Arabidopsis thaliana: one gene and its partner. The protein of the gene in region 1 interacts with the protein of each later gene in a biochemical or structural test. Each region holds a gene or a part of one and is shown in the gene's direction. Other genes may lie near its edges. The genes, in order: LOG2 and RD21A.

The links.
Region 2: of the proteins of LOG2 (region 1) and RD21A, one has a biochemical effect on the other in vitro, tested with the Arabidopsis thaliana proteins (one study listed by BioGRID).

Annotation. Positions count from the first base shown.
Region 1 is NC_003074.8:2,995,901-3,000,052, reverse strand, and holds LOG2 (RING/U-box superfamily protein), read left to right. Parts: upstream 1-1,797; 5' UTR 1,798-2,217; coding exon 2,218-2,720; intron 2,721-2,901; coding exon 2,902-3,409; coding exon of another isoform or gene 3,410-3,424; exon of another isoform or gene 3,425-3,495; coding exon 3,496-3,651; 3' UTR 3,652-3,874; downstream 3,875-4,152. UniProt on the Arabidopsis thaliana protein: Acts as an E3 ubiquitin-protein ligase, or as part of E3 complex, which accepts ubiquitin from specific E2 ubiquitin-conjugating enzymes and then transfers it to substrates (in vitro).
Region 2 is NC_003070.9:17,283,659-17,287,258, reverse strand, and holds the start of RD21A (Granulin repeat cysteine protease family protein), read left to right. Parts: upstream 1-1,509; 5' UTR 1,510-1,649; coding exon 1,650-2,124; intron 2,125-2,665; coding exon 2,666-2,901; intron 2,902-2,999; coding exon 3,000-3,140; intron 3,141-3,487; coding exon 3,488-3,600.

The DNA of each region.
Region 1 (4,152 bases):
TCGTAGATAGTACGTGACACGTTGCTGATATGCGGACTTCAGATAAATTATCGGCTAGTATCATAAAGATAATGTAAGGGTCTAAGCATACTCACTAATTAACGAAATATCTTCTTAGAAACACCTGAGCTCGATCTATTTCAATCATAGTGACTCAAACCTAAGAAAATCTTTGACATATGTATATTACATTAGTGTTCCAAGAAGATGCTACGTTCGACGTCATATTTGTTATCCTGTAAATTATAACAAAGATGCATCAACATTCAACAGAGAACAAAGTTTAGTTTTTATATATATATATATGTCACGATCATAGGTCTACATAACTATAAATTGATACAATTGATTTTACAGATTTTACACAACATATGTATCCAACTTGATGATATATCCGGTCTGCCGTTTCCCACTATATATAGAGTATTTTATAATTGATTCCCATTTATTTTTCTTAGTTTATATATGTTCGTCTTTTGGAATTGCTTAATGAAAGTGTGTGCGAGTGGTTAGGTATGCGATTCTATTATGTCTCTTTATTTATTTTTGATTTCGAATCGCACCACTACCTTCGTATGGGAATGTTTCAATATGATATCTATCTGTATATGATCACGAATATAATTTGATTTTGATCAAAATCAACATGTAATATAATTTCACGTAATATCAAACATCCAATAGTTACAGTTTAATCTGGCTACTGAATATATATATATATATATATATATATCTTCCTTTGAAAGAATGTTTATATATTTTTATTCTTTGTGACGTTTTTTTTAGCTAATGGTGATCTCTTGACTCTAAATTCATACAAATTTTTTAAAAAATTAGCTTAGGGTTTTGAAAATATAAAAACTCTTTTAGGGCTTATGTTTTCTTTTTGGTCAACGGAGCTTATGCTTTTGTAGAAACACTAATTTTTAAGACATTAAAGTATACATCAGTTTTGTTTTGTGTTTTGGGTTAAACTTATACACAATTATTCAAAGACGACAAAACAAGTTTAAATATGAATTCCAAAATACCAGTTCATCTTTTCGGACTACTGTATATAAGAATATTATGTTGGCAAAAAGTAGGTTTATTATAGGTTAAAAATAAAAATAAAGTATAGCCTACTTTGTTAGGAATACATATTAAACTTCACACTAATTACTAGTAGATATTTAGGCAATATAAGTCTAGAAGCGGAAAGTAGACAATGCCTATTGCCTAGTATACATTTCGGACAGCACAAGTGACTTTTAACTCTTTAATCACACAGAAGACAGAACTATGCAATGATCGACAACTTCTTCACTCTGTAAAATATTTGGATTTCTCAATTAATGGTTTCTGAAAATAACATCATCTTTTTAAAGCATGAACAAATTAATCCTAATGTAGACCTAAATAAAAATCTTAAGACCATCTTTATCAGTAAAAACAAGGAAAGATTCTAAAAAAAAATAAAAATAATATTTTAATTAAAACAGATACATTAATTATTATTTAATAATTGAATTAATAGTATGATGACACTTGTCCAAATTGGATGAGAATAGTTTCTCAAAGTTTCTCGGAAGAGAAATTCAACTCTCCTTCTCTTCTACTTTTTTTTCCTTCTATCATACTTTTTCTTCTTTAATTATTTTTTTTTTTTATTGGGTATCTTATTGAGATACTTCAAATGGAGATGCTCTAATAATTAATGGGAATGTGTTTCTAATTAAAAAGATAACATCTTTCTTTCTATATTTTTGTCGTCATATAACACACCTCAACTCTTTTAAGTACTCGTGTTGAATTTTGTTTTTTGAAAAGACAAAACTCCTTATAATCAACGTAATTATTAATAACAAGGAGAAAAAAAGTCCAAAGAAAAAAAAAAGAAAGCTTTTTGGGAACATAAACACCATCGAAGGAGGGTGGGAGGTGTTTTATGTTCATGGGTGGAGCTTCTTGGCCAACCTGACCCCATTCATCATATCATTACCCACTTTCTTCTCCTAAATTATTCTCTCTTATCTCTCTCTCTCTCTTTTTATTTTCTTTCTTTCTTAATTCATCTAAACTCTCTCTGCTTTTGCTTTTCGTAATTCCTTACATTTCACTCAATATTAATCCCCAGAATCTCCGATCCACCCACAAATTTAGCAATTTTCTGAGATTTGATCATTTGGGTCACCAAAAAATCTTGTCTTTTTGATCTGGGTTTAACGCCAATAACATATGGGAAACATTAGCAGCAGCGGTGGTGAAGGTAGACGCCGTCGACGGCGAAACCATACGGCGGCTCCACCACCACCTCCTCCTCCTCCTTCTTCTTCTCTTCCTCCACCACCTCTACCTACAGAAATCCAAGCTAATCCCATCGTTTTCGCTGCCGTTACTCCCTATCCTAATCCTAATCCTAATCCGGTTTACCAGTACCCTGCTTCTTACTACCACCATCCTCCCCCGGGAGCCATGCCTCTTCCGCCGTACGACCACCACCTCCAACATCATCCACCGCATCCTTACCACAACCACTCTTGGGCTCCCGTGGCGATGGCCAGATACCCTTATGCTGGTCACATGATGGCTCAACCGACTCCTTACGTTGAACACCAGAAAGCCGTCACGATTCGTAACGACGTTAATCTCAAGAAGGAGTCTCTTAGGCTTGAACCCGACCCGGATAATCCGGGTCGCTTTCTCGTCTCCTTTACGTTTGATGCAACCGTCTCCGGAAGGTAGATTTCACTTTCTCCCTTTCGTTGATTTCGTGATCCATTTGAGCAGATAACACGTGAATTTTGTTGTGTTCTTCCTCGTGACTATGTAATTTGGATCTTCTTATTGCAATTTGATCAAATCTTCTTCATGTGTAATTGAATTAAGCTTATGTTATTATGTTGGACTTGTGAAAAATAGGATTAGTGTCATTTTCTTTGCTAAAGAATCCGAAGATTGCAAACTCACAGCGACAAAGGAAGATATACTGCCACCTATCACTCTAGATTTCGAGAAAGGACTTGGTCAGAAGTTTAAACAATCATCTGGTTCTGGTATAGACTTTTCGGTCTTTGAGGACGTTGAGCTGTTCAAAGCGGCCGCAGACACAGAGATCTATCCATTAGCGGTTAAGGCAGAAGCAGCTCCCTCAGGTGGTGAGAATGAAGAAGAAGAAAGGTCGGGGTCGAAGAATGCGCAGATTACTCAAGCGGTTTATGAGAAGGATAAAGGAGAGATTAAGATTAGAGTGGTGAAGCAGATACTATGGGTTAATGGAACGAGATATGAGTTGCAGGAGATTTATGGGATTGGGAATACAGTTGAGGGGGATGATGATTCAGCTGATGATGCTAATGATCCTGGTAAAGAATGTGTTATATGTTTGTCTGAACCACGAGACACCACTGTTCTTCCATGTCGACATATGGTAAGTGAAAGCTGATGATTTACTACTATTATGTGATGATGGACATATATATAGATGTTAAAAATTGTTTGGGTTTGGTGGTGCAGTGTATGTGTAGCGGATGTGCTAAGGTATTGAGGTTTCAGACAAATCGATGCCCCATTTGCAGGCAACCTGTTGAAAGGCTTTTGGAGATAAAAGTTCACGGTAACAACGGAAGCGGGAATAACACCGGACAGGGAGAAACAGTTGAACAAGAGTAGCTAAACACGGCCGAGTATGGATTGAAATGCCATCGAAATATTAGTAGTATATGCATGTTTGATCCTTGTATGTTAACAACAAAATGTGTGATTGTCAATTCATAATATAGAGATTACGAAATCATTTGGAGTCATAATGACACAATACTTGAAACATTCTTCATTAGATACAACAACAAAGTAGGCAGTTTCTTACTTAGCTAGTTGCTCAACCGGAAGTTGCAGTGGCAGGTGAAGCCATTTTAGTTGCAATAAGACAGAAACTTAAACATGGAAAACACGAGATATAGTAGCGGCAACATGACATTCAATTATATAGCTGACCCCTTCGTTTCTTATTTAAAAGGGGCAATCTCCAACGTTTTGTGGTCAAATGGGCCTGCATTTCTTTTTATCCGCCTCTACTATTGGGCCCTAAGCCCGAGTTTTCCGGTTTCGTAAACAATAGGTTCATCATACTTGTGTAATTTCAATGTTTTGGAAAATTCGGTTCACAGCTTC
Region 2 (3,600 bases), on another chromosome or scaffold:
TAGTTCCCCTTAGGCTAGGAGCGTTAGTTGTGTCTCAATGTTTTTGGCCATATGTACACTAGCGTGTAATAAAGTTCTAAAATACTAATTAATGATTCGTTATTCAGTCATATTATACGTTTCACATTAATACTTTTTATTGAATGTATAAATTCCAATATCGTCATCAGTGTATCTCTACACGCAAAACTATTGTTGAGTTTTTTCTTTTCCAAAACTCTAAATTACAATATTATTTTTTTTATTTTGATAAGTATAATATTCGATGTCACTTGAATATAATAATTTTTATTAATTCTCTGACGAAAAAAAGAGAGCAAGTGTTCTATTGTCACAAGCTAACTCTTGAAAGCATTATATTAAAGAAGTTTGAGTAAAATGAATAAATTATAGAAAATATTTTGAGTCTTTTAATTTCGGAAGGAATCATAATAATAGAGACAACAATCTAATTTCATAATGGTAACTTGTAAGACTTTAGATTCTATATTATCAAAAACTCATAAGAATCTCGAGTTACATGTAACAATCCTATCCACGCGTCTTTTACAATACGTGAGAACACGCGCTCCTATTTGTGTGGACATTTTATTTTTGGCTTGCCAATTAGAGATCAGTGACGTCTCATCTCTTCCTACCCATATTGTCTAACCAATAATTGACCATCACATATTCACATTTATAGATTTCATCTTTACACTATTGTTTTTTTTTTCACTTATCAAAATATCTCAACCGACCCTGAAATTAATTAGGATTTTTAAATCGGATTTTGGCTCAAGTTTTTGTTTTTGAATATTTAAGAAAATAAATACAATTAAGTATAAGTTTAGAGATGATTTGTTCATTTATTTGAAGTTTTTGATTTTTTTTTTCTTATTAAAATGACAAAAAGAATGATTTGAGTTCTTTTCTTTTTTGGCTCAAGATTTATTTTGGCCCACTTTTCTTTTCAATATTATTAAGAAAACTTGACTCATAAATTTTTGTTGGGAAAAAGAGGAAATGAGAAAAGGGATAATAATAACAAACAAAAAAATGATTTGATGTTGGTTTGGGTTCCCTCTTTTTAGTTCAAATATAACATGAGTAATAGTGGTAAATGTACATTATTTGAAAAATTGTAAATAATGCACTATTTACTATTTATTATCTGATTTGCTACTCTTTTTTTTTTCAGTTTCAATTATAGTTCAACATGGAGTTATTTTTTTGTCAAACCCCATATGATATCTTATCTACAAAGAAGCCCATAAATCACTTATCTTCATTTATTTTAGATCCACTTATTTTTAATTCTTTTTTTCTGTTTTGATTCCGTTTCAACTTGTTGGATACATATAACTTTTATTGTTTCTCTATCGTATCAAAAAAATAATTTGGATTTTTCCTATCTTTTTTTTCTTCTAACATACGGATTTTTTCCTTTCCGAAATTGAACTTTCTAATAAAAAAATTCGGAACAAGTCACCATTATTTTAGAAAATTAAAAAGAGTGACGAACGAAAACATTAAAATAGAAAACTAACAATTATTACACTTATCTCATTTGGCTTTTATATATACCCCACCACCATCTCTTGTCCATCATACAATCGTCTTCTTCATCATTTTCTCTTCTTCTTCTCCAAGAAAACACTGAAGAAGAAATGGGGTTCCTTAAGCCAACCATGGCGATTCTTTTTCTAGCGATGGTCGCCGTTTCATCAGCCGTGGACATGTCAATCATCTCCTACGACGAGAAACATGGCGTCTCCACCACCGGTGGCCGTAGCGAAGCCGAGGTTATGAGTATCTACGAGGCATGGTTGGTGAAACACGGCAAGGCTCAGAGCCAGAACTCTCTTGTTGAGAAAGATCGACGGTTCGAGATCTTTAAAGACAATCTTCGTTTCGTCGATGAACATAACGAGAAGAATCTTAGTTATAGATTGGGTTTGACTCGTTTTGCGGATCTTACTAACGATGAGTATAGATCCAAGTATCTTGGAGCTAAGATGGAGAAGAAAGGTGAGAGAAGGACTAGCCTACGGTACGAGGCTCGTGTCGGTGATGAGCTACCGGAGTCTATTGACTGGAGGAAGAAAGGAGCCGTGGCTGAGGTCAAAGATCAGGGTGGTTGCGGTAAGTTTCTACTGGATCTAACCATCATTTTTAGTTACTCTTATCGTAGTATATCATTTTTTGATTCAATCATAAAGTTTTGAAACTTTTGGAAAATGACATATTTGCCCCTTCCGGAAATTATGGGTGTTAGTTAGCAAGACAAAACTCAATAAATGAAATTAATAGTACTAATAATTTAACAAATCATCATGTGTATAGGTCATTAGTCATTACTTAATTAGAGACGTTGACTTATAGTCTAGTTATTTTTGCTTGTGAGCTATAGTTGTTTTGTCCTAAGCATAAAAATAAGGTTTTACTTGGTTACAGGCTCACAGCATTTCAAATGTGTACATTTTGGTTATGAATTTCAGTTATAAGGTTTATGAATGAATCTGATTAACTATAACATTAAATTTCGTAGTCATGATTATGTTAGAAATTGCACATTATTTTAGTCCTCCTTACAGAACATTGATATTAGAATATATGTGTTCCTGTTTGATGTTAATGTTTTGTTGTAAGCTGATGTTGTTGACACTTATGATTGGTAATGAAGGGAGTTGTTGGGCGTTTTCAACCATTGGAGCAGTGGAGGGAATAAACCAGATCGTAACCGGAGACCTAATAACCTTGTCTGAACAAGAGTTGGTCGATTGTGACACTTCATACAACGAAGGTTGTAACGGAGGTCTTATGGACTATGCTTTTGAGTTCATTATCAAGAATGGTGGAATCGATACAGACAAAGATTATCCTTACAAGGGTGTTGATGGAACTTGTGACCAGATCAGGGTAAGTACATTGGTTTTTGTTTTGACAAGGAATTACATTTGATTATTAACACAACTTATGATTCTTATATCAATCCTCTTGTGGGTTTCTTGTTACAGAAAAACGCTAAAGTTGTCACTATCGATTCATATGAGGATGTTCCAACTTACAGCGAGGAATCGTTGAAGAAAGCAGTTGCTCATCAACCCATTAGCATTGCCATTGAGGCTGGTGGTCGTGCGTTCCAGCTCTATGATTCGGTACAAATTTAACCATCTTCTCATAGTTCTTAGGTGTTTGTTAGTTTTTATGCATATAAATCCATTTCACTTCTGTTGTTAATTGTATACGCCAATTACAAACGAAAGGAGAAACTCTGTTTGGTGTTTGCGTTTACACTTTACAAAAGAATTCTATGAAAAATTGAAAAAAATGTTGCTAGTGTTTGAAAATGTAAAGTTTTATTCATATATAAACGCATGAAACAATTGCATCTAATAGGTGGTTGAATATTAAGTAGCTTTTCACTATTTTTGGTCTCAAAATGTTCATATTGTTGTTAGTCACCTTTGTCTCTAATGTGTTGATGTGATCTTTTCATCTGAAGGGTATATTTGATGGAAGTTGTGGAACACAACTAGACCACGGAGTTGTGGCGGTTGGATACGGAACTGAGAACGGCAAAGATTACTGGATTGTGAGAAACTCATGGGGTAAAAG